Linked DNA regions of Oryzias latipes. The protein of the gene in region 5 purifies or fractionates together with the protein of the main gene of each other region. This does not show direct contact. Links are inferred from orthologs where the notes say so. Each region holds a gene or a part of one and is shown on either strand. Other genes may lie near its edges. The genes, in order: gtf2f1, dap3, snw1, rpl18, hnrnpu, hnrnpa3 and eftud2.

Region 1 (4,414 bases), on a different chromosome or scaffold from region 5:
CTGTTTATGGAAAAAAAGGGGTTATGCAGACACTGTTTTTTAAATTACTTTACATGCCACATGAGGGGATGTGGATGCTGCACCTCCTCCAATACTTTTTGATACTTTTTGAGAGCAGAAGAAAATGTTGGCTGACACGGAACTGTGCAAAACATCCTCATTATGTAGAACCAAAACTGCGAAATACAAATGAGAAAGAAATGTACCTATTTATAAATAATAAATGTGAATAATAATTTGAGTATAAATGGAAATATAAGCATTTATACACTTCTTATTCTATTATTTTGTATGTTCATAATTTTAAAATGAGTACATTTATTTTATTTGTCATTAATAAATTAGAACCTTTATTTCCTACTTGTATTTGGCAGTTTTGATTCTCCATATTCCATGCCAATGCAAGATTTTAAGACACATTGTTGAAAAAGTCAGACTACCAGACTGTCTATAACAGATAAACAGCAGTTTCTATACTGACGTAAACCGGAAAATGCAGAACGCACTAAATATGTGTTAGCAAAACAATTAAACAATACAATAACGTGAGTTAAACATTTATCAGCCATCACCGTTGTCGTTATTTAATCTTCTCTTCGCCGTTTTGGAAGGTCCTGTCTGACCTCATCCAGGAAACTTGGGTATCAGAATTATTTTAGAGTTTTCCATTGGAAATTACAACAAACGGGGTCGTTTATGTGCAAACTTCACCTGTCTTTCTAACTTTACCGAACTTCGGATCAATTAGTATTTTAAATCGCGAATGCACAGAAATACTGGATAATGTAAAAAATATGGCCCCATCATCCTCCAAACTTACCTTGTGATTGATGCTGAAGTTGTTCATCTTTTTTCAGCTCCTGATGGATAAAGTCTCTTTGGCATGAAGTGCTCTTGTTGTCGCTTTGATCAGCGTGACAAAATGAGCTATTTTTTTTTCTTTTCTCAACTTTATTGAAACAAAATGCGCTCGTAAATGCACACTGTGCCAGGCTCAGATGCAGTGATGTTGGCCAATCGTTGCTGAGAGTGGCGTAACGTCATTATTTGGGTTGCCAGATTGGTTCAGGTTTGTTGACAAGGGGGATCATTAAAGTGCAGCCAACTTTCTTTTGCACAACATTCACAGCTATGAAATAGGTTGCCAGATTTGGGTCTTTTTTTTATTTTATTTTTTCGCCACTTCGGGGCCCTGGTGATGTGGGGGCCCTACGCGGCTGCGTAATTCGCGTATAGGGAGGGCCGGCCATGATCACAGATTAATTGTCAAATTGTAAAAATTGTGAATGGCATTTACACTTTCCTTTCCTTACATTCAGGTGCACTCAAGCATAATCGGCTCTTAACACTGTGTTCACAGCCTAATCATTATTTTTTAAAGGAAACAATTAATTTAATTACTTTTTTAAATAATGTTTTACTTTTTTAATAAAGTTTTTATAAATTTTAAACTACATTTCAGGGAAACAAATTTAATTTATATGTTTTTCTTTGTTGGTAAGTCTGTTTTTACTTATTAGTTTGATTTTTTTTTCTTTCATTCCAGTTACTGTCTGCATTTTCAATAGGAACTATTTGTGACGTGCCAAGGTTTCCTGTCGACCGTAAAAAGTGACGGAACGATTACGCTGCAACAACGCGCACCTCACCGGTACACCAGTAGTAGTGTTTTACTCTCGGAGATGCGGGGCTTTTTCTTTTAAAAAAAACAACAACACTATTTTTGTATTTCATTTTCCTTTTATGCATCTTCACTCGGTCTGAAGTTGGACTAAAACGACCATATGAGCTCGTTTATCGTGCTGGAGATCTAATGATCTAATCAGAGCTAACCATTGAAATCTCTACGACCGGGTTGGTGAGACTCAGCATTCATTGTTATTTTCTTTCACAATAAAACCAGTTTTCGGTGATTGTTTGCTTTCGAACATTTGTTTTTTTCTAACCCGTCTATAAAACTAGTTTTGTAATAAACGTAATCATATTTTTACACATTATGAAAATGGCCGACATGATCATGTTGCACTAAACATTAGTGAAATACCTGCTAAAATGTCCTTTCTTTTTCTGTAAACCCTTAATAGCTCCAGTGAAGTGTTGGCAAATCCAGAAGTTGTTGATAAACAATCATGACATCTCTGGTAAGTTCTGACTTTTTTTTAATGATTATTTTTATTATTATTAACATGTAAAATGTTTTCGTTTCATTTAAGCTATTTTAGCCCGGCAGCTTCCGGTTACAGCAGGAAAGAAAACTTTATTAATCTGCGCTACAGAAGACAATGTTACACGAATTTATCAGTGGAGACTAATTGTAAAGCCTGAGTTGCATGCAGGCAAAAACTCATTCAATCAGAAGGTCGCTGATCTTATAGCAAAACCTTTTTTTAATAGAAATTCCACATTATTTGTTTGTTTGTTTGTTTGTTTACCATCTTCCAGGGGGGCAGCAGTGCTTCGACTACAGAATACACAGTGAGAGTCCCCAAGTGAGTAAATGAAAGCAGTAATGTGTTAGTAATGTTGACCATAACACAGAAATGACACCGTTATCCTTTGAAATAGTAATGTTTTGCATCATTCTGCCCTAAATTTGTCAACGTGTTACTTGACTCCGCCTTGCAAAAACAACTCTTTTTATTTTTTTATTTATTTTCTTGCCCCATAGAAATACAAGCAAGAAGTACAACATCATGGCTTTTAATTCTGGAGACAAAGTCAACTGTTCGGCCTGGACACAGGTGGGCTTCATGTCTTCTTTTTTGCTCCAGTAAAGTAAATCTATATTTTAAATTTGGTTATAATTAAAAACAATAAGATCTCTTAAAACATCCTTAGGAATTCAGAAATTTGTGACAAAATACAAGGGAGTACGGATTAATAAAGCAACTGCGTTTTATGACATATGTGGTACTAATGATGTTTTTTTAAATGTATTTTTTGTATTGAAATGTGGTGCCTCTTGGCCAGGTCTCCCTTGGAAACGAGATTTCTAATCTCGATGGGACTTCCCTTGTTTGATAAAAGTTCTAAAAAAAAAAAAGGTATTAAGTTAAATATCCTGCTTTGTCACTCCCCCAGGCTCGCATGGAACGCGACCTGAGTGCTCGGCGAATATATGGCGAGGAGGAGTTACCAGAGGGAGGGGCAGGGAGCGAGTTTGGCAAAAAGCAGCGCGAGGAAGCGCGGCGGAAGAAGTATGGCATTGTGACCAGAGAGTTCAAGGTGGAGGATCAGCCGTGGATTTTAAAGGTCAACGGAAAAGCAGGAAAAAGGTAAAGCGATAAATGTTTCTATTTTTGAAACTTAAGTACATTTTTTTTTTTTAATTTACCTGCAGGCTTTCTTGAAGTTATGACTTTTTTTTCTTCAAATAAAGAAAATCAATAAACCATATTTATTTAACCGTTGTAGAAAATGAGCAAATACGTCTTCGTACTGAGTAAGATTTGGTGTAATCCTCACCAATTTTTAACAAAATCTGTTGGTGTGTTTTTTATTTTTCCTAAAATGTTTATTGCAGCAAGATTCTCCTATGATTCCAGTTCTACAATCTTCAGTCTGGCTATAATATTTGTCTTTCTGCATCAGGTTCAAAGGTATAAAGAAGGGCGGCGTGACAGAAAATGCATCCTACTACATCTTTACGCAGTGTCCTGATGGAGCCTTCGAGGCTTTCCCCGTTCACGGCTGGTACAACTTCACGCCGGTGGCGAAGCACCGAACTCTGACTGCAGAGGAAGCTGAGGAGGAGTGGGGCAGGTTAGCAGAGCAGCAAGCTGGACTTGGAGAATGCCTTTTGTGTTTTAAAAGTCATTTCCTTCTTTGTCCAGGCGGAACAAGGTGGTGAATCACTTCAGCATCATGCTTCAGAGACGCCTCCGGGAACAGGAGCGGGGCGAGGAGGATGACGATGACGCCGACAAACCCGGAAAGAAGAAAAAGAAAGGGGGCGGGAAGGGTGGAGATTTGCGAATTCATGATCTGGATGAAGACCTGGAGATGAGCAGCGACGACAGCGACAACAGCATGGGAGATGGTAAGGATCCATGCAGCAGGCTCCAGAACTGTCAGGGCGCTCAGCCCCTTCCTCCAAACGTCTGTCAGCTCATTTTCCTCACCTGCAGCTTCCGTCTCTTCTTCGTTTGCAGATGGAGAAAACAAAGCAAAGGCAAAGAAAGACAAAGCCAAAGGGAAAGCAAAGAAAAAGAAACAAAAGAGCAATGAGAAGGATGCCCTGGAAGACAGCGATGATGGAGACTATGAGGGTCTAGAGGTGGATTATATGTCAGATGAAAGCAGGTGGGCTCCTCAGCGTATTTACCACATATACATATTAAAGAAAGAACATGTTTTTATTTGGTCTTTTTAGAAGAACAAGTCTGCATTTTTGATTTTCTACGTTCTTTGAATT
Region 2 (3,690 bases), on a different chromosome or scaffold from region 5:
CATCGTGTAAAATTGTAATGTCCCATGAATTATATATATATATATATATATATATATATATATATATATATATATATATATATATATATATATATATATATATATATATATATAATTTATTTTTTTATGCAACAAAAATAAAACTTAAGTAAAAAAAATTGTACTATGTATTTCTGTCAAATAGGAAGACATTTGTTGTCCCCTGAATACAAAGTAACATGTATGAAAACAAGGTTTATGCAGTAACTAATTAATAACTAAATATTTACACAGAATGAGAGTTCAGACAATGATTTGCCCTTTATAAATATATTGATAAAGTCAAACATTTTAAAAAATCCAAAATTAACTAAAAACCTTTATAAATGAACAGGGACGCAGTTTTTTTGTTTGTTTTTAAAAAGAAGCAGTGAAACAGACTATCATACACCTTTGCTCATTTGAGGCTAATGCAAATGTAAATTTTTGCTCTTTAACACTAAATATATTTTCGGTTAAGTCAAATTTTGACCGTTTACCTTCTTAATAAATCAAGCAAGACATTTTCCTTAAATATTTTATTAATAAACAAATGTAATGATTTATAAAACACAGTGACATAGATGTTGCATGAAGACATAGATGTCTGAATGCATATGCGTTTATACCCATACAGCGACATTTACATGTTTACTTCTGTGAAAAGCATGGCTTTATAAGAAGCCGCAGAGTCTGTCAAACATGGTTGGATTCCTGTTGCTCAGGAAGATGAGCTCTTTCTTCCCTTCCTCTGTTCGACCTGATGGAAACAAGGAAACCAAGACATGAAAATAAAATGACAAATAAATATTGCCATATTACCTTATTTCATCACTTACTCTGTGGATGCTGCAGCCAGTTACGCTCTGTATAGTAAAGGTAACAACTCTCAAACTCCTTCTCGCTGTAGTTGGGAACTGACAGAGGGATGAAGGGATCCATGCTGTCAAACCCCCTCTGGTGAGTAAAGCACAGCACGTTTAAGGGCCAAACACTGGACCTGCTGTAGCAAGACTGCAGTACCCAACATGCACTGATCAACAATTCAGCATCATTTAGAAGAACAGTATAGAGCACAACACATCCTTTCAGACAATTCAAGCAAGTGCAAAAACAGATATATCTAGAGTTCAGATGCACAGAAGAAAGAAATCAATAATGAATATATTAAATAGGAAGCTGTGCATTAGAGAGATTCAATTTAGAGTCAAGCCCACACATACTCTTGGGGGGGTTGACCTTGCTTTTAGTACGATGATATCATTGCAGTCAAGAGCAAAGTAAAAGAATGTGGTTGACAAGGATGGATTGACAGGTCCATTAAGTTAAGTGATGCTGTGCAGGAAGCACAACTCCTTACTTAATGAAAACAATCTCTTACAAAAGAAACAAATACTGGAGAGAAAAAAAGAATGTTTATGATTATTGACATGGTTTTGCTCTCAAACAACAAAGAGTATTTGATCTTTAATTTTCTGACTGCAGGTAAAAAAGAATTATGCTTTAGAAGCAATAAAGGATTTTTAAAAGCAGACAAACTGTTGGGCTTTAAAGGTAAATATGATCTAACCTCTCCCAGGAGCTCCTGAGGTAAGTAAGCAGACTTTGGAGTGTAAAGAGACCCCGTCTGAGACAGAGTGGTGATGATGGCCCCTCCAATCTGCGTGAAAGGACAGAAAAATTAACAAAAAACACACACACAAAAAAAGTACTCTTAAAGACCCACTATCATGGACATTGTGTTTTTTCAACATGTTCCTGTGGCATTTTTCTGATAATGGAAGACATATATAACGAATATTAAGCTTAAAATTGCTTTGCTGAGGTTTTTTTTTTAATTGTTGTCAATCTGGAGCAAGCAAACAAAAAAAGCTGTTTGAAAAAGAGCATATATGTTATGTAGAAAAGACACAGGGCAGGCCAAAGGCTCCCTGCTCCACTCCATTCTGATGCATCCCCTTGTAGACAAATCAATCCATGTCCGTCTCCGTTTTCCTCTTCTGTGCTGGTATCTGGCTCAAAACTGTAAGGAAGATATCTCCAATAATTTTCACCATTTTTGTTGCACCGTTAATGTTAAGTTGGGGCTGTCGCTGCCGCTCTGCAGAAACTATGTTCTAAAAAAACAACAAAGGTTTTGAGATTTAGCCCAAAAATGGATATCATAATTAAAAGACCACCAGGAACACTTTGAAAAAGCAAAAAAGATGATCAGAGTGGGGCTTTAAGCAACTTTTTGAAGCTGTGTTCTACTAACCCAGTCATTTTTTAACAACTTCCTCAGGTTATAGACCAGTGTGAGTTCTTCTGGATCCACCTGATATTAGGGAGAATAAATATATAACATCAGACTTTTTATCTTAACAAAAAACACTGTGTTCGATGCACAACAGCACTGAGAATGTGTTTTCTCACAGCGCTCTTATCCTCCTTCTTAATAGTAGACTTTCCCCAAAGGGCATTGACACCATCCACTGCCACAGCCAATCGGAAGTTGCTCTCGGGATGCCCGCTTTGCAGCCTAAGCTCCTTCATCACGGCTGCTACCACATCACTGCTGCTCTTCACACGGGATGTGCCCTGCAGCAAAACAAACACCAGCAGGGGGATCACTGTCAATTATGAAAGGGAAATCCAACAGCAGTGTCGGGAACATAACAAAAACAAACAAAAAAAAAAAAATCAGGAAAATTGAGAATTAGATTCAGGAAACAAAGTTTAAATTAGGAAAAGAGGAGCTTACTTGTGCCCTGATTAAAAATGTAGCCACCAAACACTTGAATTGATATATTCCAACATTCAACTGTTAGACATTTGAGAATTCCCATAATTCCAAAAGTTTTCTTTAGCTTTGCTGTGACACAAATCGTGAAGTTCAAATTCAAATATGTTTTATTTCAAATCAAAACAACAATTACATAAAATAAATCAATGCAAGACTTTGAAAATTAGATTTGAAAGGGGATTGGAAACCGCTTAAGCTTATAGGAAACCAATCCCCCACTCAACACCACTCATAACAGACACCAAAATGAAACATTTGACATTATAACGTTAACACACGACAAGACAAAGACAAACAAACATGCCCAAACGCTTTAGTTAAATGGGGAAAGTTGGTGAACATTTTTGCACCTACTTGATCCACAAGTTCCCCAAGTGGACGCCCCTCTTCTGTGCTTTCCCTCTTTGTCCACACGTAGCGCTGCTTAATTTTTATCTAAAAAGAACACAATCTTCAAAAACACTTTCAGAAATAGTTTTACCCTAGAACACTATCGCCGGGTGATTTTTACCCGCACAAAACTATTTACATGAATTTCAACATGCCGCGTGTCAAGAAGTCTGTGCCTTCACCAGGTAAGTCTCACAGGTCCCAGGAATGGGTGGACAAAGATTAAGTTTCTAGTATCGTTTTATTACTTTTTAGGAATATTTTGTTCTCAAATTCCTAGTTTTTCAGGAATTTAGAGCGTGTTTTTAGGAACTTCCTATGTTTTCAACCACAGTTGAAAATAAAAGAAAACCCCTCCAATTTATCATTTGATGTCATGTTTTGATCTATTTTTTATGACAAGTCCTCATGTTGGGTAAATTATATCAGGTAAAAATTCCCCAGCAAAAGTGATGGTGTAACTTTTTTTAGCGCAAGTGTTCTAGGGTTGAAACATT
Region 3 (4,387 bases), about 9.6 Mb from region 5:
AGACATTACACAACAGTTCCTTCAGGACCTTGATGACATTTTTGTGATTGCTGAGGCACAAAATGCCTAAAGCTGTGATATTATATAATAATAGTTCTCCACCAAAAGCTGTAGGAGGAGAAATATTTGAAAAGTTGTTTATTGAAGGGGATTTTATTTAACCCCATGAAGGGTAAATCAACATCTCCATATACTCTCTACACAACTTTCAGTCGTTTTCTGCAAACGTCAGGTGGAAAGGTTCTCGTCAATCATCGACTCGCTGGTGCTTCAACGCAACGTTGAAGGAAACTTCCAGCTTCAATATTTGCAAAATGTTGTGATAGACCGACTGTTCAATACTTCCTTTTGTTGTTTGATATAGTTCCAGAAGTAAGCATGTTCGATTAGACAAGAGATGTTTATGCTTCAGCCTCTACGCTTGATTGGTGGAGAAAGTGTTTAAAATAAGAGCAGCTGGCAAAAGTAATTGGGCAAAAACGTCGCAAGAATTGGTTGAATTCATGTGAACTGGTGTGATTGCAAAATCCAAGAGGATCTGATGGAACAACAAAGAAGTCCTCGATCTAAAATAGAAGTACTGTTTATGATTCAGGTAAATTGCTACCTGATATATTGTGCAGGAGCGAGTTTGTCGGCGGCCCGGACAGGCATGGCTGCAGCAATCTTTTGCGACACCTGCTTTTGTAGAGCGGCCCGAGTCTTCTCAGTCAACTGCAAAGAGCATCCATCCCCAACCATGAGAAACTACACATGCTTACAGTAATTAAAAACAATAAGTAAGGGCACGCTGAAAGACAATTTCACCAAATCGGATGAATGAATCCTGAATGTCTGCACGAGCCCGAGCAGCAAATTACCTCTTCTACAGCCTCCTCATCCGGCTTCTGAAGGCCTGAAGCGTCTTCATTAAGAACTTCTTTTGGGAGCAGATCAGTGTACTTGCTGTAAATCACCTACAAAAATCAAGAAGAAAATTATAGAAATAATCTCACTCAAAATTTACCAATATGGCAAAACATGCAGACTCATAGAATAGGATAGATTGTGTAAAGCTGCGTTTACACTAAATGCCATTTGCGCATTAGGAGTGTCCAGTTTTAATGTTAGCTTAACGTAAAGAAGCAATCAGATTTGATTTTGGAGCTGCACACCAGTCTGGCAGCCGCGCGCTTTTTTGGCTGTTGCGGTGCGTCAAGAGTTCAAAAATATGAACTTCGGCAAACAAGATGCGCCGCGTCAACCAATCAGGGACTCCTCTTCGGACCGGGATGCGTTGAAGATGTTATAAGTGGATCAAGACACACAAAAAAAGGTCCTGAATGCAGAACAGAAAGTCGTCAAACTGGGTTTCCCTTTCAGGAGCAGATGTGGGAGTCTCTGGATGATCTCATTGATCAAGACATGGAGACGTGCCTATCGACATTTTTGTAGAGCTCTTCAAAGTAGAAAAACGTGATATCTCAACATCATCCCTGTCTGCAGCAATGAGGCTAAAACCGTTTGGCGGTAGCTCCTCCCACATGCGTCTGGAGTGTCGTGTATGAACACCAATAGAAATGTAAGGATCAAACATGGTTTTTACAAAAAACAAAACACTATAGTGTGCATTTTTTTTAAATGACAACCAAACCAAGCTGTATTACCAAAGTTAAGATTAGGTCCCACATTTCTGTGGAGATTCTGTCATCCAGAACATCGGTTCTTCAGCTGGACTTTTAGAGGTCAATTTAGAATCTGTCAAGTCATATAATGAACCTCTCATGTTAGTTTGATAAAGTTCATCGTGTCTTGTATTATTAACTGACTTGTTGGTTCTTTTTTATGTGAAAAAATACAAATAAAACACAGCCGTGTCTGATAGGAATAGAACCAAGAAGTCAGAACCTCTCATGTATTTGTGGACACTAAGAGCAAGAATAGGGTTTTAAAGCTCCTCACTGACTGCCAGAAAGAGGAAAAGCTCAAGTACCTTATCCTTAGCCTGTCCTTGTCTGGCAATGGCATCATATTTGATTTTCCCTTCTGCGTCCACTTGAACTGCCAGGGCGTTAGAGGTCTTCTTCTTCCTGCCCATCTCCAGAGGAAACTGGGCCACGTGAATCTCTGGAAAAGCCCCGCCATCTCCGAAGTCCTAGGAACACCCAGAATGTTTTGTAGAAATGCGAAACTAGGCAGTGAACCAATGTGTAATCCATTGAAGTGCACCTCAAATGCACGCGGAACCCAGCCTTTTCTGTGTCCGTAAGGAGGGGGTTCTTTACGGGACGCAACCAGCGCAGTGGAATAGGATTTCTGGGTCCGAATCCGCTCTTCTGCTTCCAGCTGGTCCTGAGACAGCTGGGTCGGTGCCGGTAAATAGCTGTGCAAAACAGGTCCACATAATGCAGTTTAAAGACAACTTAGCAAGTCGCTGTAAACGCGGATCAGCGTGAAACGACGTCAAAGTAGCAGGAACAAAAACTGCAAACCTGAAACGTTAATGCAGGTAAAGAGGTTTATTTAACACGATATCAAATACATGTGTTTAAGTAATAGATTAAACAAACAAGCTAACTTCAGAAACGGTCGTTTGAGGGTACAAGCTAATGCTAACCCCGTCTCACTAGTTAGCACTAGCTAGCATTAGCTAACATCATAAACACAGAAAAGAGCGAAACGTTTAAAGTTTAACTAAATATTTAACGTTTAATATTAAACCAAATAAATGTATAACAAACACAGACAGAAACTCCGATCGCATTTTGTGCCTTATTCGCCAAAAGGCCTCACTTAGAGACTTACCTCGTCAGAGACATTTTCCTTTCTTCCTGAACTATGAAGTGAGCATGCGCAAGAACAGGCCGTAAGCGAAAAAGAGAAGAAGGTTGCCAGGTTTGACAATTCTAAGCTCTAATACATATCAAACCATGTCCAGTTCGATAAAAACAAAATAAAATAAAAGTACATACTCGTTTTACAACATTTTATTTGTTATGTTAACTTGTTAAGTTAATTACATAATAAAAGCCAATGCACACAAAAAACAGGCTTTCACCCACCCAATGAAAAAAACACGAAACTTTATACATACACTTGTGCTTCCCACATTTTTTTCTAATTATTAAAAAACCCTATATGTTGTATTGGCCAATCATCTATTCATCTATAAAATAAAGTTATTAAATATTTAAAATAATTGAAATAACACAGCCTTTATATTTTCTATGCATACAAATTTGGACTTGCTTTACTTCTGACGGCCGCTTATCCAAATTCCTTTAAAAATAAATTACACCCTGTACCAAATAAGATCTTCTGGCTGCATCATAACTTATAAACTATAAGAACTTTGTCTCTGAACAGCAACTACACAGTGTTGTGGCGCAGAGGATCAGAAAAAGAGCTTTAAGGCTTATTTGAAAAAAACAAAACAAAAAACACTCAGACAGTACACTACAACTCTTATTATTATTTTGTTCCAAACTTCACATTTATAATTTCTTCAAATCATTCCCTTTTTTTTTTTAAACCTTAGAGCCACAATGGATGGACATGTGGCTCCATAGCCTCAGGTTGCAGATCCCTGCCCTGGACTCAGCAGGCCAGGTTCCCAATGAAGAAACACGGGAGTCAAAGGTAAAGTTAAGAAGTTAAAGCAACATTTAAATTACACAAAAAACAACAATAGAAAAATAATAATTTTATAAAAAAACAAGGATGACAGAATAAAAGAATGATATGCTTGAATAAAAAAAATGCATAAATGTTTTTATAAATTACATAAGGATACTTCAGATACATATTTTGTTACTTCAAAAGAGGATTTTTTTTTGGTGGATGGAAACTTCCTCCATTTCCTTTGGATTGTTTTCATATTTAATAAAAAGTATCATTCATATTCAGGAAGAGACTCAGACTGCCAGAGAACTTTTGCTGAAACAGAAGGAAATCCCTTAGGATCTAATAGAAAACAGGTAGCCACCTTATTAAGTCCACTCATGGATAAGTGATTTCATATCCTGCTTTCATGCAGATGTTGCGAGTCTAAATCCTTTTTCTGTCAATCTTAAAGCCTAAATGTATATTAAAGCCTGTGATCTGTCAATAAGGTTTTTCTAAGATATCTAGCAGTTTGCACTGCTGTCGTGCAGAGACACGAATCCTCAAAATCAATGAAATTCTTTGCCTTATTTTTATTTCCCACCAGCGAATGTTGTCTCTTGATTTCATTAAGTTTGTTCCTCTTCATTTTGGATCCCATATTTATCAGGATTTTGTTCTCTTTGGTATAACTTGAAATTATAAACAAATGCGATCAGGAAACAATGGGGTTGATTTACACTTTTGCACAGGTATCCCTGAAATTTAGCAGAAAAGTTTGAACATTTTTTTCTGAAATTAGGGA
Region 4 (4,291 bases), on a different chromosome or scaffold from region 5:
TTTATCAGATAATATATATCCACTTCTTAAAAAAATAATTTAGAAGAGTTACATATTTATGATTCATATGATCTTATGATTTACGATCATTTTAAGATAATGGATTTGAGGTGTGTGTGAAAGATTCAATATCTGAATAATCAGCTGCTTTTAAAAAGGATCTGAAAATCAATCTTCAGTGACTAAAAAGTATTTAGGGGTCAACTTACTTGGTGTGGCTGTGAGGGGTTCCAGTGGCCTTTCCAAAGTGCCTGTAAACCTCTCTGGCTTTGCGGGGTCCTGCACAGCAAACAGCATTTTTATTATAGTCACACAATAACAGCTCATTGTCCCTTAAGTTTTCAGAACAGCCTCTCTATTTCCTATGGATTCAATCAAACTTCCTAAAATCTCTTGATTGTAAACATTTGCACCAGATATTGGCATTAATTTGTCTCACAAACGCTAACATTTGTTCTTTTGACAAGAAAAAATCTTATACTGCTTAAGAGTGAAAATGGTCCAACTATAGTGAATGTTTTCCCTAATAACTATTAGAACAAAAATATAGCAAACAACAACACGAATTTTCCAATTCTATTTTTTTTTTACTTTTCTGATAACATTAAGTTTTTATTTAAATTATTAAAACCTCATGTACCTGACAGCAGCACTGTGCCGTGTCCTTTGGGAGTGGCCAAAGCCAGCTGGTCAAAGGTCATCACTTGTCCCCCTGATTTAAGAATCCTGCGACGTGCACCATCAGTTACTTTCAGAGCGCAGATCTGTGTGGCAGAAAACAAAAGGCCCCATTTTAGAAGGTTGTGAATAAAAGCTGTGAGCTGGTAAACAAAAGTGAGGGTACAAATATATTGAAACATCAGACTACTTGCCTTGAGTTTGGGGATCTCCTGAATCCTGACATCATCAGTGACTGTTCCCACGACAACAGCGATTTTATTATCACGGCCAGGAAGTTTCATTTTACGAATCTAGTGTGGAAGCAATAGACCAATAAGAGCTGTTACTTATATTTTGTGACTAAACATCTCATGGCACATAAACTAAAATCAGGTGACCATAAAATTTGACTGTACATTTAAAAACTATTTTCAATCAAGCCTAAAAGCGTTGAAGTTAATGTGCTTCTGTTGGGAATGGGAAGGCTAAACAGCAAAACACAAACGTTATAACAACCTTATGACATCAGAACTATAGGCTAAAAAGTGAAAGGAAGTTATTCCCTAATGTCATATTTAGATTAAAAATCATTTAGTGTGGGTAAAAATATAACAAACGTTTATACAGTACCTAGACTGTTGTAACCAGTGAAATATAAAATAAAATTTACTTATGGAATTTAGACACTACTACTACAAAAAAAGACAAATTCAGTAAAACAAAAAAAGACAAATTAAGTAAAACAAATAAGCTTGATTGATAAAAGTACAAAGTAGGTACTTTTGTTCTTCAGTAAAACACCTGATAAACCCAGCACAGAACAACAACTTAGATCTTTTGTGAGATCAGGAAAAGTAAACTGGCTCACTGACTGACCAGACGGGAGATTGCGATAGGAGGCCTGTTGGTCCTGCTCATGAACAACCTCTTCAGAACCACCTTGTTGAAAGGAGCATTGGTACGGCGAGACAAGAACCTGTACAACTGTCAGAAAGAAAGAAAAATCCACATTATATTACTAAAAACAGATAAAACTGGAGGCAGGGGTTTTAGGTAAAGGTAGAGCTAAAGATGCTGATGTTCTCTGTGGAAGTGATGGGGATGGACAGAATCATCAATAAATACAGAGGAGCAGCTTATGTAAACTATTTCCGTTATATGGAGGGAATCTAGTTAGCTCAAAGGTTGGGAAACAGATGCCATGTTTGCGCTGCTAAGAAGGTCAAGAGGAAGAGATGTGGTTCAGAGGCTGACATGAGTGTGGTTGATGTGTGAGAGGACAACACAGAAGATGTTTAATTTGAACTACTACAAACTATGAAAGTTTTAACAATACTGAGAAGCTAAATTACAGAACCACCCTAGCAGCTGAGACAACTTCTGAAAGGAGATGCTGTGAGAGCGTTATTTACCTTAACCAGGAGCCTCAGGTAGATATCCTGGCTCTTTGGCTCCTTCCTGTGCACCTTGCGGTCCTTGTTGTGTCTGATGTCTACGCCCTACAGGAAAAAAACAAAAAAAATATACATCTTTAGCATAATCAACTAGTTGTATAAACATACGTAAGTAAGAATGCACGTATGTTAATTTCATTTAATAACAATTTCGCGTTTTATCAGTACACATAAACACAGTCAAAACAGATCTTGCGTCAATTTATACAGCTATACACACAAGGTTTGCAATACAGCAAACAGACACCGGTCAACGCGTTTAGCAGCTAACTAAAGCTAACAGCAACAAAAAAAAATTAGAATTTCTTTTAAGTTAACCAACCAGTACAAATCTAAAGGGACTATACCGGACTAGAGAGTAAACTAGAAAAGACTGTAGTTTTGTGTGTGCGTATAGACTACCTTTTAGCGCAAACGTTTAAAAAATGTTACAGCAACGAGTAGTTCGATAGCTAACCAATTGATTATCTAATCACATTGTGATCGGTTAAATCAAAAATCGTAACTCAACTGGAATACTGTTTTCTATCAAAACGTATTTTGGATTTTATTGTGGAGAAAGGATGGCTGAATTCAAAGGATTAATGCGGATACCGGGGTATTCAATCTGTCTTGAGGTACCTACCATCTTGGATTCAGAGCGAAAAGGGAAAAGGAAGTTCAAAGTTCTCGCGATAACACACGCGGCCGAAATCTCGAGCATCTGATTGGTTCTAAAGTACGCGCTTCCTGCCAACCTGCAAAAAAGTAGTTGAGGTCATTGCTGATGCTGCCCCAAGTGGCGGGACTCATCATTACATTGAGCATCCTTGTATATTTGCTGAACTTTTGCTGAACTTTTATTAAAGCAATTTGATCTAATAAATTATCACATTTTAATGTGAACAACTTTTTATTGAACTTATCTTTGTTCTATACTTCACATCTAACTTCTGGCAATAAGGTCAACATCAGTGTTAGATTTTTTTATTTATTTAAACAAACTGTGGCAAAGTCAATGCATCTTTATTTCTTCAGCACTTTCTTACATACAGACAGTTCAACGTTCTTCACAGAGATGCACATGCTTTTTCAGCAAAAAGGAAAATCAAAAAAGTGAAGAAAAAGTTAAACAGAAAAGAGTATTTTATGGTCAGTATTAAAGAGAATTGTATTTGTCTGTTGGTCATGTTTCTTTTCCACGACGTTAATTGTTTTTATGAATTGAATAAACAAATTATTTTATTACTTAAAAACGAAGGAAATGTCAATAAAATTGGCAAAGCTAATAGGTTTCCCCAGGATGGCGTGGCATGTGATTTAACTTCATTTTATTAAACATGTATTGTGTTGTTGGGAGAAAATATTATACAAAAAACTTCTTATGCAAAATGATCAATCCAGACCTTTTGTGGATTTATGATTTGTTTAATAGTGGAGGGCTTTATACCTTCCTTTATTGCTCAAAAACGAAATTTTGTACACTTTAAATAAAGTCAGAAATTTTACATTTTTAGAAATGCAACAAAGTTTAATACATTTCATGTTGTACACAAATCAACCCCTTTTTTTCTTTTTTGAGATCTGATCAATCAAAGGGACCAGATCTAAACCTTGTATCAGGAGTTTGTGTGGCTTGTTCGGGTCACTGATTCTGCTGCTGTTTGAAGTGGCAAAGAAAGATTGTGAACGTCAGAGCAACACCTCCTAGGAAGACTGTCCGTGCCACAGGAGGAACGAATACGAAGTTGATGCCCTAAGGTGAAACAAAGGGAAAAAATGTCATGAAAAATTGAAGTTACATATGATATTCTATAATTACAGGCCATCAAAATAGGGATTTTGTGGAAAAAAACAAGAATTGATTTTATCATCATTCTTTTCTTACTAAATGGTGACTGCTATCTTCTTTATAGAAGGGCTATTATCCGTATTTCATTGCATTTTACAAAAATAAAGATTTTGATTGACATATAATGTCAGAAGTTAGAGCTCTGTCTCTCCCTGTGGTCACCGGCGGGAACCCTCTCCAGAGTACTGAATGCACTTCATCTCCCAGCAACCCCCAGGCACACTTCCTGGATGCCTCACATCTGACTCTGTTTTCAATCACTCACAGTCTAGTTAAGCGCTGCACCAAGCCTCACTCAGTGCAAATGATTGTTTGTGCCACTTTGCCAGCATTACTGAGTGTTATA
Region 5 (4,097 bases):
ACTTTAACACAAAGGCCTGATGTAAACCCACTTTTACCACAAAGGTCCTTAAAGCTTAAAAATTATTTTAGATTATTTTGAAAGCAGGTTATGTTGTTTAGAAGGGAAAATATGGGCAAAGATTAAACTGATAAATCCCTAAAAACGTCAAGTGGACAATTTGGAGAAGCAGGAAGTGACTTTCCTGGATTAACACAACCAGAAATAAGTGATCACAATTTAAAAATAAATAAAACAGCCAACATTTTTGATGCTGTGCCCATCGATCTTCAGCGTCCAGGTAGTGCAATGAAAACAACACACGTGACCAAAAAAAGTAAGTTCATGTTCACACTCACACTGGAACTCCCTTGCAAGCCATGCATGAGGTCACAGAACGCGGGGTATAAAAACTCTTCCAAACGCACACAACATGACATTTTACACAAACATGATACAGAAACAGCAACAAGAGTGTGATAGAGAGAAAACAACAACAAAAAGGCAGAACACTCCGAAAAAACATGGACGATCACTACCGAAGCTCCTCCGTGGACGCTCCAATAATCTTGATTTTTTTCTTTAAATCTCCTAAATCCTTGTGTGCTACTTTCTTTCAGACCCCTCGGCTACTTTCCTCAACCCACCCCTCCTTTTGAAAAAGTGTACACCTGCTATTTCCCTCTGTGGGTTTTGCTTAGAGTAGCCTCCATTCACCTTAAGGACACAACGGGCTTTTCCAAAAGAAACAAAACAATAAGTGGCATGAGGAACAGATGTGAAAAGTCACAGATGCACTTCTGCTACAGAATGCAGTCCATTAAAGACGCTATGTGAGTGGGCATTGTAGAGTAAATGGTAAGGCTCTTTAGGTAGTCAGGGATGACCCTGAAAACACATGTGTGAAAGTTATTAAATAAGAGAATACTTTTTATTTTAAACAAAAAAACAGAGGGTTTTCCTCTTGCTAGAAATGTGTGCATTGGCACTTAAAGCCAATACAATCCAACAAAGCTATGGATGGCGCTTCAGGGATGCTGAAGGCCATTTTGCTCTGTCCCATCCTTACCAGCTGTATTTGTTCTCTTCAATAAATTCAAAGTAGCCCCTTCCATGTTCCTCCCGGCGTCTCTTAACACCCTTCTTATTCTTCTGATCAGCATTCGTGTCTTTGTCCGCATCCCCTTTGAAAATAGAACAAAGATATAGAATGAGGTGCTCCTTTTTGAGACAGAGAGAGAGGTCGGACTAGCAGTGGGGTTCTGGCCCACAAAGCCCGTTCATTAGTTACATTGTGTCCATCATAATTCATATGAATGTTCAAAGAGGCAGCACTATACTTACACTGAAAATACAGTACAATCAAATGGTTATGACAGCTTTTAAGACCAGGTAGTTAAACAATAAACTGGCCAAAAATTATAAAATAAATGAGTGATGCTTTGTGGGGGCGAAATAAAAGTCTGAAAAATACACCATTGTCAATGGGGTTTGATTAACTTATAAGGGAAAGTTTACTGTTTAAGGGGGATAAATAAATCATGCAAGTAAGGCTATTTAGATATGGTTTTAAACTACCTCCCCATTTGTTACACTGTATGATTTTGGAACCTTTATTAAACAGAAAAACCACGACAAAAAAAACTAGCTAAACAAAAGCAGCAGAACCAGCTGAGCTACCACTATTTAAATTTGGGGTTAGCCATCGCAGATATTCTCCTGTTTATTTTATTTGTGCAGACTGGGAAATGAAATGTTTCAAAAGTAATTCCAGTGAGATTGTACAAATGACAGTAAGATACAAGATTTGTGGCTTGCAAATTCCCCCTTTATGTCTTAACAGGAAGGGAAAATCTGAAATGGCTAACCCTGCTAAATTAGCTTGTTAGCACTACACCAGAAACAAAGGAAATCGCGCTAGCTGACAAGCTAACACACCTTACAAAATCGAAAGAAAAAGCTTAAAGGTCAACCAAAAAGGACGGTTCTCGGCATATAAATTTAATTAAAACTATTACTAAACTTTAAATTGTGTTTTTGAAACGACTCTTTAAAACGTGCCTGAGAGAATATGGTAACGCGTAATTAGAGTTACAAAACGATTAACTAAGAGGAGGTGACCGATGCTAGCTGCTAATGCTAACTAGCTTGAATCACGCCGCCGTGTTCAACATGGACGCTCCTTGGTAACGCGCTAAAATCTTCGCAACCAGCCCCCGAAAAAAAAAAACAGCCAGCCACAGTCCATTCAGCCAGCCACCTTTTCAGCATCACTTCACCAGACTCACCCTCAGCAGCTTGCTCCCCGGGCTCACCATCCTCCGTGTCAATTTTTTCCATGTCGTCCACATCTCCCTTCAGCATCTCGTCGTCTTCGTCGCCTTCTTCCCCCTCACCCATGTCTTCGTCATCCGCTACGCCATTGCCCTCGTCCCCATTATCATTATCCTGTTCTTCCTCATTAGCCTCCATGCTCTCTTCTATCGGGCCGTCGCCTTCCTCTTCCTCTCCCATCACCTCCTGTTCGGCGGCCTGTTCGAGGGTTTCCTCCTCCGATCCCTCCTGGGCCGCAGAAGAATCCCCGACCAGGGCCTCCTCGTCGAGCGCGGCCTGCAGGCGGTCCATCAGCTCGGCCTTCAGCCCCTTGTCCGACAGATTACGCTTCTTCAGCTCGTCTTTCAGCTCGTTCACTTTCAGCTTTTTCACGTTAATTGTGCTCATTTTGAATGCAAGAGTACAAACAGTTTTTAAAAAATCGACGATAAATAAATAACTGAACGCCTATAGACAGGAAACTGCGCCAAAATAGCACCCGCTGTCCGAGAAGTCTTCGCCGGCGGAGAGCTGCGCTGAAACGGCGGTTGAGTGGGGAGGGGAGGAGGACGGCCTCTCTCCTACCGTAATCACTGAATAAATGGCGCAGCGGGTTTTTTCCCTCTTCTGGTAAACCTGCCATCTGCTACTGTCACACAAGAAAACATCTATACTTATCTTACAAACACATTATACATTATTGCAGAGAAATATTGTCCACTTATTTGCTAAAAAAGAGAAAAAAAGTTTCCTTTTTTAAATGACAGCTTAATTTGGGCCTCAGCAACAAAACGGGACAAACTACAGTTAATGTTGAAATTTAATACCAGTTTCAATGGAAATTTCCTTTGCAGCTTTGGTCTTTTATTATGAACTCTCTTTGGAATGTTGGTACTTAGTCACCTCATGACTACACTTCCACCACTGTGCATGGCAGCAGAATTATTGAATTTTATCTCCCAACTTTTCTTATCAAAGACCCACTCCATTGAAAAGCATGCTTTTCTTTTATGTGTTTTTAAAATTTTCTTTAAGCATTTTCCAATGATGATGGGCTGCACTGTGGTGTAGTGTTTAGCGCTCTTGCCTCACAGCAAGAAGGCCCCTGGTTCAAGTCCGGCTGGGGGACCTGAAACAGAACATCAATGGGGGACCTTTCTGTGTGGAGTTTGCATGTTCTCCCCGTGCATGTGTGGGTTTTCTCCGGTGACTCCAGCTTCCACCCACCATCCAAAAACATGCTTCATAGGTCACTCTAAATTGTCCATAGGTGTGAATGTGGGTGTGTGAAATGTGTGACCCAGCGACAGACTGGCGACCTGTCCAGGGAGTCCCCTGCCTTCGCCCATAAGTGGCCGGGATAGGCTACAGCAGCCCCGTGACTCCAAAAGGGATAAACAGAGGAAGATGAATGAATTTTCTAATGATGGAGGACATATATAAAGAAAATTCAGTTCTGAGTATTTCTTTATTCAAAGTTGTGAATCAGGAATAGAAAAGAAATCCAGTCTAAAAAAGCTTGTAGCTCTGATGCTACAGTTGTCTGGCCACAAGCTTCCTGCTCTGCTCCATTCTGACGCATGAACCTGTAGACGGCTAGATCTGTGTACGTCTTTCTTTTCCTCGTCTGAGCTGGCATCTGGCTTAAAACTGTACTGCTGGATAGCTCCAATATTGCCTGCCATTGTTGTTGCAACCTGACGTTAGGTTGGGTTGCGAGGGGCTGTAAGCTAGTGGGAGAGCATGTAACAAATGGATGACTGGAAATGAGGGAAGACTTCATCAGTTCTGTCCACAACTCAGAG
Region 6 (3,461 bases), on a different chromosome or scaffold from region 5:
GCTATGGGGGAGGTGGTCCAGGATATGGCAACCAGGGTGGAGGATTTGGTGGCAACTGTGACGGAGGTTATGGAGGCAATAGTGGAGGTAAATATGCTCTTATTTCCAAGTCATGAACATATGAAACTTGATATGTTTTGTTTGTTTATAATAAATGTTTGCATTGGATTTTTAGGTTATGGAGGTGGTGGAAATTACAATGACTTTGGAAATTATGGGGGGCAGCAGTCGAACTATGGGCCCATGAAAGGAGGTAACTTTGGTGGCAGGAACTCTGGTGGACCCTATAGTGGTGAGAAGCTCCAATATTTTTGGTATTGTCTTCAATGACAACAACTGACACAATTTCCTGAGATGCAAATAAAATAGGACTTTTTATAATAAGGATCCACACTTCACTTTAAAAAGTGCTTCAGTTTAACTGTGTGCTGCAACAAATAAAGCATGATTTAAAGTAGCATAAACTAACATTGGGGAGCAGGATAATTACACTGAGCTGGTTCAATCCTCTGACTAATGATAGATTTTTTGAGTTAATAACATATGTGGCTCCTTAAAATACATATTTGCCTAGTCTGCGGTTACATGTGCAAAATGTCTTTGATCGGATCAAAGATCAGGTTAGAATTGAACTGTGTACATAGTCCCAGAAAAACTTTATCCGATTATCACACTGTTTACATACACCATACTTTTGATCCTCTAAAATACCAGAACGCAGTAGAAGAAGAAATAGCGAGTTCTGTTGTAAACAAACAAAGCTACAGCATAGAGCGAGATGATCTTCAAAGTGTGCTTTTGTTATTGTTATGATTACTATTAAGTGCTTTCTAAATTCATGTGACCAGTGCTGTATTCTTGGCTGCACGAACCCGGAAGAAGAGTTAGGATTAATCTATTATCTGCCTACAGCATTTGGCCGTGCATGAACTTAAAATCCATGCGGGCAATGCCGCAATGTGTATATGTGGCAATGACATCAGCCTTTACTTTGTCTGGACATGATTGGAAAAACAAATCCATGCGATTATTTGCTCGTTTCTCAGGACTGCTCGGAGCGGCATTTCTGCTTTAAAAAGCTGCTTCCGCCAGCTGACACACCTTCTGAAAGCCGCTCCTCTGCTCGGAGACACGTATCTCCTGAGTCCAGCAGCTCGCTCATGCAGAGCAGCCGGACGGACTACAAAGCTTTCTCCGGAGCGCACACCGTAACAAAGCACCCTCCCCTACCCGCACAAACCTACGAGTCCGGCTGCTCTGCGTAGAGACATGGTTTGCTCCCGCGGAGCAGCCGGCCGGTCCTGTTAGCGCTCCAAAGCCTCTGGAGCGCCACACCATCTACGCATGACAGAAAAGCCAGCAGTAGTGACCCACAATCGGAATAAATTGTTTACATGCACCACGATTGAATCAACAATCGGCACAACCCTCCTATCTCGATCGGAAGGAAATATTGATCCGAATGAGGCTGATCGGTGCAGAGTATTCCGAACGGCGTGTTTACATGACACATTCTTATTCTGATCAGGCATTTATTCCGATTACTTTTGTCCATGTAACTGCAGCTACTGACAGTTTTATTTCTATGTACCCCTTTGATATAATTTGTCTCAGCAGTGTAGTTTCCCCTGAGGGAATAATAAAGATATTTTTCACTCCAAATTGCAGGTGGTTATGGCTCTGGGAGTGGCGGTGGCGGCGGCGGCGGTGGTTATGGCTCACGGCGGTATTAATTCTTGGTTGTTTTGGTAAGTAGCGTTCAGTCTGGCAGCAGCCTCGAAGCACAGTTCAGAGTGAGCCCATGAAAGTGCAGATTAACTATTTGTCTTATCCTGTATCCATTCAACAGGCTTCAGTTCTTAGCAGGAGAGGCGAGGAGGTGAGCAAAGGAGTTGTCAGGAAAGCTGCAGGTTACTTTGAGGCAGTCATCTGAAAGCAGTAGAGGAACACAGAAGTCAGACATTACTGCAGCTTATCCAAGAAGTGTATGGAAGGAGGACTGTATGAACAAGACATGAGTGCAGACGATGTCCTTTCCTATTTCTCCTAGATGTGAACCTAATGAGGAAGTTTTCCTTTCTGTGTCTGAATTGTGTGTATTGTGCCTATTGGATCAGGGGTAAATTTTCTTTCTTTTCTTTCTTTTTTTAAGTCCTACATATTTTTGTTTAAATTTTTTATATTGGTTAGTTTTATCATAATGACCAGTTAAACATACATTTTTGATCTTAGCAACTGTCAGATAGCATAGTTATAAAAGGCCCTTCAAAAGCCAGAAGTAGTTGTTTCTTCCCTCCTAATTTATTATTTCCGAATTGCAAGTGTCAAGTGTGTATTGATTTGTATGTAAAAGCACAGTGTGTAACTTTTTCATAGTGTCAGTGTCAACAGAAATAAACAGCTTAGATTAGAACTAAGGGAATCCCGCACTTCTCATTTCTTCCATTGAAACAGATTCCAGATTGTTCCCGTATTTTTGGTTAGTGAAAGAAACGACTGAATAAAGTTGTTTAGTAAAGTAACACAAGATTCAGTGCATCATTGGTTCGGAAAAAAAGCATGCATGCTCATTGTGACTGTGGTTAGCATATCAGCCTTTTCTGACTTGTCCCAAATTTGGGATTGTTATGAAAAACATGATGGTGTCTGTTCATATGTGCAATATTCTGTGCTTTCACGGATACCGTCGCCATTTTAAAAGGGAGGTTTGAATAGTTCCAGGGAAGGGCCCCGAGTGCAGCTTTGCCAGTGTTGAGAAGGTAGGAGTATGAGAACCACAAGCTCCTGCAGTTTGGCCCTCAGCGTCGCTAGTGTGGAGGATGACAATCAGACAGGACGACTTCAGCCCCAGCACAGTGGACCAGTCAGCATTTTGAGAGAGAAGGGAGAAGGCAGCATCGAGCGCAACGGCCATGGAAGGAAGTTTGCAGTGTCATGCCTGGTAGTGAGCATCTGTCTTTTTCCAAGGCTAGCTAAACTCCAGCAGCTGGTTCTCGCCAAGAAAGACTAGGTCCTGGACTCACTGAAGATCCTGTTTAGTGAGATACAGCAGTTTAACCTGCAAATACTAGATGTCAGACATTGAACAAGAAAAGGGAGCCAATATTTCACAAAAGCTGACTTGAGAAGATGGATCAGGTAAGAGTAACCACTTTGCTTGATTTACAGATGTGGATTTGGGCATTCTCTTCTTGCCGAAAATCTGTAAAGACCTGATAACTTGGAAAGTTCTGGATGGGTAAGACTTTTTTTTTTTTTTTTTGTAAATATTTTTCAAGGTTGAATGTTGATTATGTACTGTGTGGTAAGGCGTACAGGGAAATAGACTTAAGGTGAGAATGGGAGGGTTCTTAAGTCGTCATTCAGGTTCTTTGAATGACCAAATTTTCAATTTCAATTTTCAAAGGTGATTTAGAAACATTCTGTACAAAGGTAACTGACCAAGAAGATATGAATCTAAA
Region 7 (3,664 bases), on a different chromosome or scaffold from region 5:
CCATGGTTTCATATAAAAAAATGCAACTTTTATGTCATCTTTTATGTTATGAGTTCTCATTTGTTCTTTAAAGTAGATTTAAATCGGAAACCTTCACATGAATTTATGGTTTAGAGCAACGGCCCCCAGGCCAGGGGACCGTTCCTGTTTCGTGGGACAGCTGGTATCAGACTGGAAAGAAAGAAAAAAAAAAAAAAAACACCCAACCTACATATTTTCTGTTTTATTTATAATTTTATTCTGAGGGAAGTTTTACTGAAAACTGCTGGACTCTCCCCACCACATCCAACAGATTCTAGGCACATGTCAAGTAGCAGTACTTTATTAAAGCCGCTGCCCCCACCGCTAAATAGAAACCCCCCAGCTAGCAAAGTCAAAAAATAAAAAACGTATTTGGAAAGTTTCTTTTGGCAGAAAGGAGATGACTTCAAAATAAAAGCAAGCTGCCTTTACCAGACAAAAACCAGTTGTCTTTCCTGCATAATATTCTCCAAACGGCTGTCTTCTAATGTTAGAAAGATGCTAATAAAATTGCTAATACGGTGGATTCACATTTACGTATATATTAAGAAAAAATTGCCAGTTGTAGTGACCGTTTTTTCTTTTATTCTTGCATTTATCCCTTGCACCTTAAAAGCCGGATGAGGTTGAAGGCTACAGCATCACATTTTAAATCTAATTTAATTTTTAAATCAGCTGTAGATAGATTTTCACCCTCAAAGGTTAAGAAAACTGGAGCTTTAAAAGACCGATACGTGAAAATATTATATGAGACGGCAAAACTGTGCCATGGCCTGGAAAAGGCTGCACACCACTGATTAAGGGTTAAAAACAGATTTGCTCAGATAAAAAAAAAGACATTTGTTGCTGCTCTTGGATCAGATAGAACCTGCAGTTCAAACCAGCAGCCAGCGGGCGTCGTACCTCTGACGGCAGCGTGTCGTCCACGAGAATGTTGGGTCCTGTTGTGTCCGGTCCAAAGGCCCAGATGGACCTTGCAGCCAGCAGATCCCAGTCGTACTTTGTCTGGAAAAACTCCCCCAGCTTTTTCCTGTGGCGAAGAAACAGTACAAACGCTCGTTGGGAGGAGACGTGCACAGTGTGCAAGCTGGAACATTAAGGAGATTGGCTGAATGGAGGGGCAGAGGGGTTAATGGGAGAGAAGGGGTGGTGTGTGAAGTGTGTCGCTCCTGTAGCCCTGCTGCTGCAGGTTGGTCCTGCTGGGTCCAGATGGCCTCTCAGACAGGAAGCCTGTCTGCAGCATCCAAGCATGCAAGAGGGATGGGAAATTCATGCAGGCTCTTAGTGCATAATTCAATTACCGAGGGGAGGGGCTGATCAATATGCCAAGGTGAGTTTTCATAAGGACAGATTTTTCATGACACGTTGGAGGGCTTTCCCTTTCCTGCACTTCTGCAGAAATTAATTTAGAAACTCATGATTACTTTGATAATTGATTTAATGAATAAAAATATGGCTGTCACCTCCATGTGCCATTTCCAAATGAGACTCATCAGAAAGTACAGACCTACAGATCTGAGAGCAATGTCCACATCCAATAATTAGTCCATTGAAAAAGCCTTTTAACTCTACCTTCTTCCATGACTAAATTTAATTAAAGAGACAAATCTTATTTAACCCAGCAAAAGGGAAATGATGGATAAATGAATGTGCTGACATCAAAGTAACAGGCAAATTTACCATAAAGGCACATTATGTGGCTTGTGTTTAATTAAGAAGTGACTGATGGAGGCGTCTTCACATTCCTACCTGTTCCACGTGATCTGCACCACTTCGTTCTCGATGTCCTCCGCGAGTCCCTTCTCCAAGGGCTCTGCAATCATGGTGATCTTGTTCCTGTCAATCACATCACACAGATGTCACTCAGCCTGCAGAGGCTCGGAGCCAGGGGGAAGGACAGAGAGACGAAGACTTCGGACAGCGAGAGGAGTCCAGACTAAGCGCTCCAACACACAAATGAACGCTTCAAACGAGCCCGGAACAGAGCTGAATATAAACATGTCATGTTGAGCCATACTTTTTGTTTGGCGTCTCGGCAAAGCACTTCAGAGACGATGTCTCCACAACGGTTTCACAGAACGTGACGACCGGGTCTGCAACCTGTGAGCAAACACAGCAGATGTACAAGTTGTTCCACAACATTAACACAACAGCATTACATCCTTCAGACTTTTTCCAGCTAGTTTACTTCTGGAGTTCTTAAGCCTTTCACATCCGAGCTTTAACTCCAGTACTGACATTCCTTAGACCACTGTAACTCTTCGACCGCAATTAACGGAAATTTAGAGAATTCTGAAGCGAAGATAAGCAGCCTTGCATCAATATGCAACACTTTACGTTACAACTCCACAAAGGCGATGGGAAACGCCGCTTTTCTACGCACCGGAATCAGTTGACACTCGTAGATTGGCAAGTTCTGGTATGTCAACGAGTGTGTGTTGTTTAAGTGACATCTCTAGTGTTAGAGTCCAAATCCGCTCATCTTTTTTTTATCTTTTTTTAAAAGCATTTGCAGTGGTTTTTTAATCATGATTGTGACGTTTTTAGCCCAAATAAAAAAACCTGTCGTTTTCTGGAACATAGTTTCTGCAGAGCGGCAGTAGTTGACAAAATTGGAACTATCCAGCCGTACAGTTTTAAGCCTTATGCCAACCCGGAAAATGAAGACCTAAATGAATCTATTTGGCAAGTGGATGCATCAGAATGGAGCAGAGCTTGTGGCCCGCCCAGTGAATTTTGCCCAGTGAATTTTGCCCAGTGATTACCATCTTTTTCAAACAGCATTTTTTCGTATCTTCCTGATTAACGATTTGAAGAAAATACCCAAAAATTGAATTTTGAGCTTCATTTGCTTTACATATGTCCTTCATCGTCAGAAAAATGCCACAAGAACGTGTTAAAAACACAGTTTTCATCAGAGTAGGTCTTTAAAGAGTTAACAAAGTTTAAAGCAGGTGTTAATTTCCTTACTTTAATGTCGATCTCAGAGTACATCTTCCTCAGGTCGTGCATCACACAGTCCAGGTACAGCTCTCCAGTTCCTAGGATAACATGCTCTCCAGACTCTTCCACCTGGAACACAACCAGGTGGTGTTTTAGCTGTTCAGCAGCGAATGAACCAAAAACATGTCAGACTCACCTTTGTGGTCAGGGAAGGGTAGCTCTTGTTGACCTTCCTCAGGCCGTCCAACATTTTCGGCAGCTCTGACGGGTTCACCGGCTCCACTGCGATCTTGATAACCGATGCTGTGTTGAACTTTAATGGCCTGAAGATTTGAGCCTGGCAGAGGGAGGTAAATCAGCAAAAACTTGATATGGCTGAAACCTTTGAAGACCCACAGTGATATTTTCTGTTGACCTCTCACCTCTTCGTTCCCTCTGGGTTCTGTGATTGTGGCCGTCTTCACGATCGGCTGGTCACAGCCTTCGATAAGCACCCAGTTTCCTGCTGGCACTCGATTCACCTCAATTTGGTACCTGTAAAGGTGTCAGACGTTACCATTTCTTACGCAACACTCAGGTTGCGGATTTCCAAACAAAATTCAGTAAACGTGGAAGCAAACCTGGCCACAGAGATCCAGAGGCGGCCGACGGTGCAGACGGAAGAGTCCTCCTCATCCTCCAGAGAATAGTTCTCCCCCAA

What was found.
Region 1: the proteins of hnrnpu (region 5) and gtf2f1 purify together in Homo sapiens (affinity purification with western blotting; 3 studies listed by BioGRID, with this or other methods). This does not show direct contact. The link is inferred for Oryzias latipes from reciprocal best matches to the Homo sapiens genes HNRNPU and GTF2F1.
Region 2: the proteins of hnrnpu (region 5) and dap3 purify together in Homo sapiens (affinity purification with mass spectrometry; 3 studies listed by BioGRID and IntAct, with this or other methods). This does not show direct contact. The link is inferred for Oryzias latipes from reciprocal best matches to the Homo sapiens genes HNRNPU and DAP3.
Region 3: the proteins of hnrnpu (region 5) and snw1 purify together in Homo sapiens (affinity purification with mass spectrometry; 3 studies listed by BioGRID and IntAct, with this or other methods). This does not show direct contact. The link is inferred for Oryzias latipes from reciprocal best matches to the Homo sapiens genes HNRNPU and SNW1.
Region 4: the proteins of hnrnpu (region 5) and rpl18 fractionate together in Homo sapiens (co-fractionation; 3 studies listed by BioGRID and IntAct, with this or other methods). This does not show direct contact. The link is inferred for Oryzias latipes from reciprocal best matches to the Homo sapiens genes HNRNPU and RPL18.
Region 6: the proteins of hnrnpu (region 5) and hnrnpa3 fractionate together in Homo sapiens (co-fractionation; 3 studies listed by BioGRID, with this or other methods). This does not show direct contact. The link is inferred for Oryzias latipes from reciprocal best matches to the Homo sapiens genes HNRNPU and HNRNPA3.
Region 7: the proteins of hnrnpu (region 5) and eftud2 fractionate together in Homo sapiens (co-fractionation; 3 studies listed by BioGRID, with this or other methods). This does not show direct contact. The link is inferred for Oryzias latipes from reciprocal best matches to the Homo sapiens genes HNRNPU and EFTUD2.

What each region holds. Positions count from the first base shown.
Region 1 is NC_019866.2:14,106,090-14,110,503, forward strand, and holds the start of gtf2f1 (general transcription factor IIF subunit 1), read left to right. Parts: upstream 1-1,591; 5' UTR 1,592-1,858; intron 1,859-2,084; 5' UTR 2,085-2,129; coding exon 2,130-2,141; intron 2,142-2,442; coding exon 2,443-2,489; intron 2,490-2,668; coding exon 2,669-2,741; intron 2,742-3,081; coding exon 3,082-3,275; intron 3,276-3,591; coding exon 3,592-3,762; intron 3,763-3,833; coding exon 3,834-4,039; intron 4,040-4,151; coding exon 4,152-4,302; intron 4,303-4,414. UniProt on the Homo sapiens protein: TFIIF is a general transcription initiation factor that binds to RNA polymerase II and helps to recruit it to the initiation complex in collaboration with TFIIB. It promotes transcription elongation.
Region 2 is NC_019874.2:18,822,646-18,826,335, reverse strand, and holds the end of dap3 (28S ribosomal protein S29, mitochondrial), read right to left. Parts: intron 3,239-3,690; coding exon 3,158-3,238; intron 2,599-3,157; coding exon 2,434-2,598; intron 2,336-2,433; coding exon 2,276-2,335; intron 1,679-2,275; coding exon 1,589-1,678; intron 976-1,588; coding exon 858-975; intron 779-857; coding exon 693-778; 3' UTR 543-692; downstream 1-542. UniProt on the Homo sapiens protein: As a component of the mitochondrial small ribosomal subunit, it plays a role in the translation of mitochondrial mRNAs. Involved in mediating interferon-gamma-induced cell death. Displays GTPase activity in vitro.
Region 3 is NC_019882.2:3,678,697-3,683,083, forward strand, and holds the start of snw1 (SNW domain-containing protein 1), read right to left. Parts: upstream 2,912-4,387; 5' UTR 2,799-2,911; coding exon 2,785-2,798; intron 2,363-2,784; coding exon 2,209-2,362; intron 2,135-2,208; coding exon 1,973-2,134; intron 957-1,972; coding exon 861-956; intron 715-860; coding exon 608-714; intron 1-607. UniProt on the Homo sapiens protein: Involved in pre-mRNA splicing as component of the spliceosome. As a component of the minor spliceosome, involved in the splicing of U12-type introns in pre-mRNAs.
Region 4 is NC_019874.2:19,290,465-19,294,755, reverse strand, and holds the start of rpl18 (60S ribosomal protein L18), read right to left. Parts: upstream 2,839-4,291; 5' UTR 2,818-2,838; coding exon 2,740-2,817; intron 2,160-2,739; coding exon 2,073-2,159; intron 1,645-2,072; coding exon 1,537-1,644; intron 972-1,536; coding exon 641-971; intron 280-640; coding exon 210-279; intron 1-209. Other genes in the region: mpv17-like protein, read right to left, coding at 3,739-3,849.
Region 5 is NC_019882.2:13,245,017-13,249,113, forward strand, and holds the start of hnrnpu (heterogeneous nuclear ribonucleoprotein U), read right to left. Parts: upstream 2,863-4,097; 5' UTR 2,701-2,862; coding exon 2,268-2,700; intron 1,164-2,267; coding exon 1,049-1,163; intron 1-1,048. UniProt on the Homo sapiens protein: DNA- and RNA-binding protein involved in several cellular processes such as nuclear chromatin organization, telomere-length regulation, transcription, mRNA alternative splicing and stability, Xist-mediated transcriptional silencing and mitotic cell progression.
Region 6 is NC_019879.2:22,672,612-22,676,072, forward strand, and holds part of hnrnpa3 (heterogeneous nuclear ribonucleoprotein A3), read left to right. Parts: coding exon 1-87; intron 88-175; coding exon 176-292; intron 293-1,668; coding exon 1,669-1,733; 3' UTR 1,734-1,748; intron 1,749-1,849; exon of another isoform or gene 1,850-3,168; 3' UTR 3,169-3,461. UniProt on the Homo sapiens protein: Plays a role in cytoplasmic trafficking of RNA. Binds to the cis-acting response element, A2RE. May be involved in pre-mRNA splicing.
Region 7 is NC_019866.2:5,482,001-5,485,664, forward strand, and holds part of eftud2 (116 kDa U5 small nuclear ribonucleoprotein component), read right to left. Parts: coding exon 3,585-3,664; intron 3,499-3,584; coding exon 3,387-3,498; intron 3,302-3,386; coding exon 3,161-3,301; intron 3,094-3,160; coding exon 2,992-3,093; intron 2,122-2,991; coding exon 2,039-2,121; intron 1,858-2,038; coding exon 1,771-1,857; intron 1,052-1,770; coding exon 925-1,051; intron 1-924. UniProt on the Homo sapiens protein: Required for pre-mRNA splicing as component of the spliceosome, including pre-catalytic, catalytic and post-catalytic spliceosomal complexes. Component of the U5 snRNP and the U4/U6-U5 tri-snRNP complex, a building block of the spliceosome.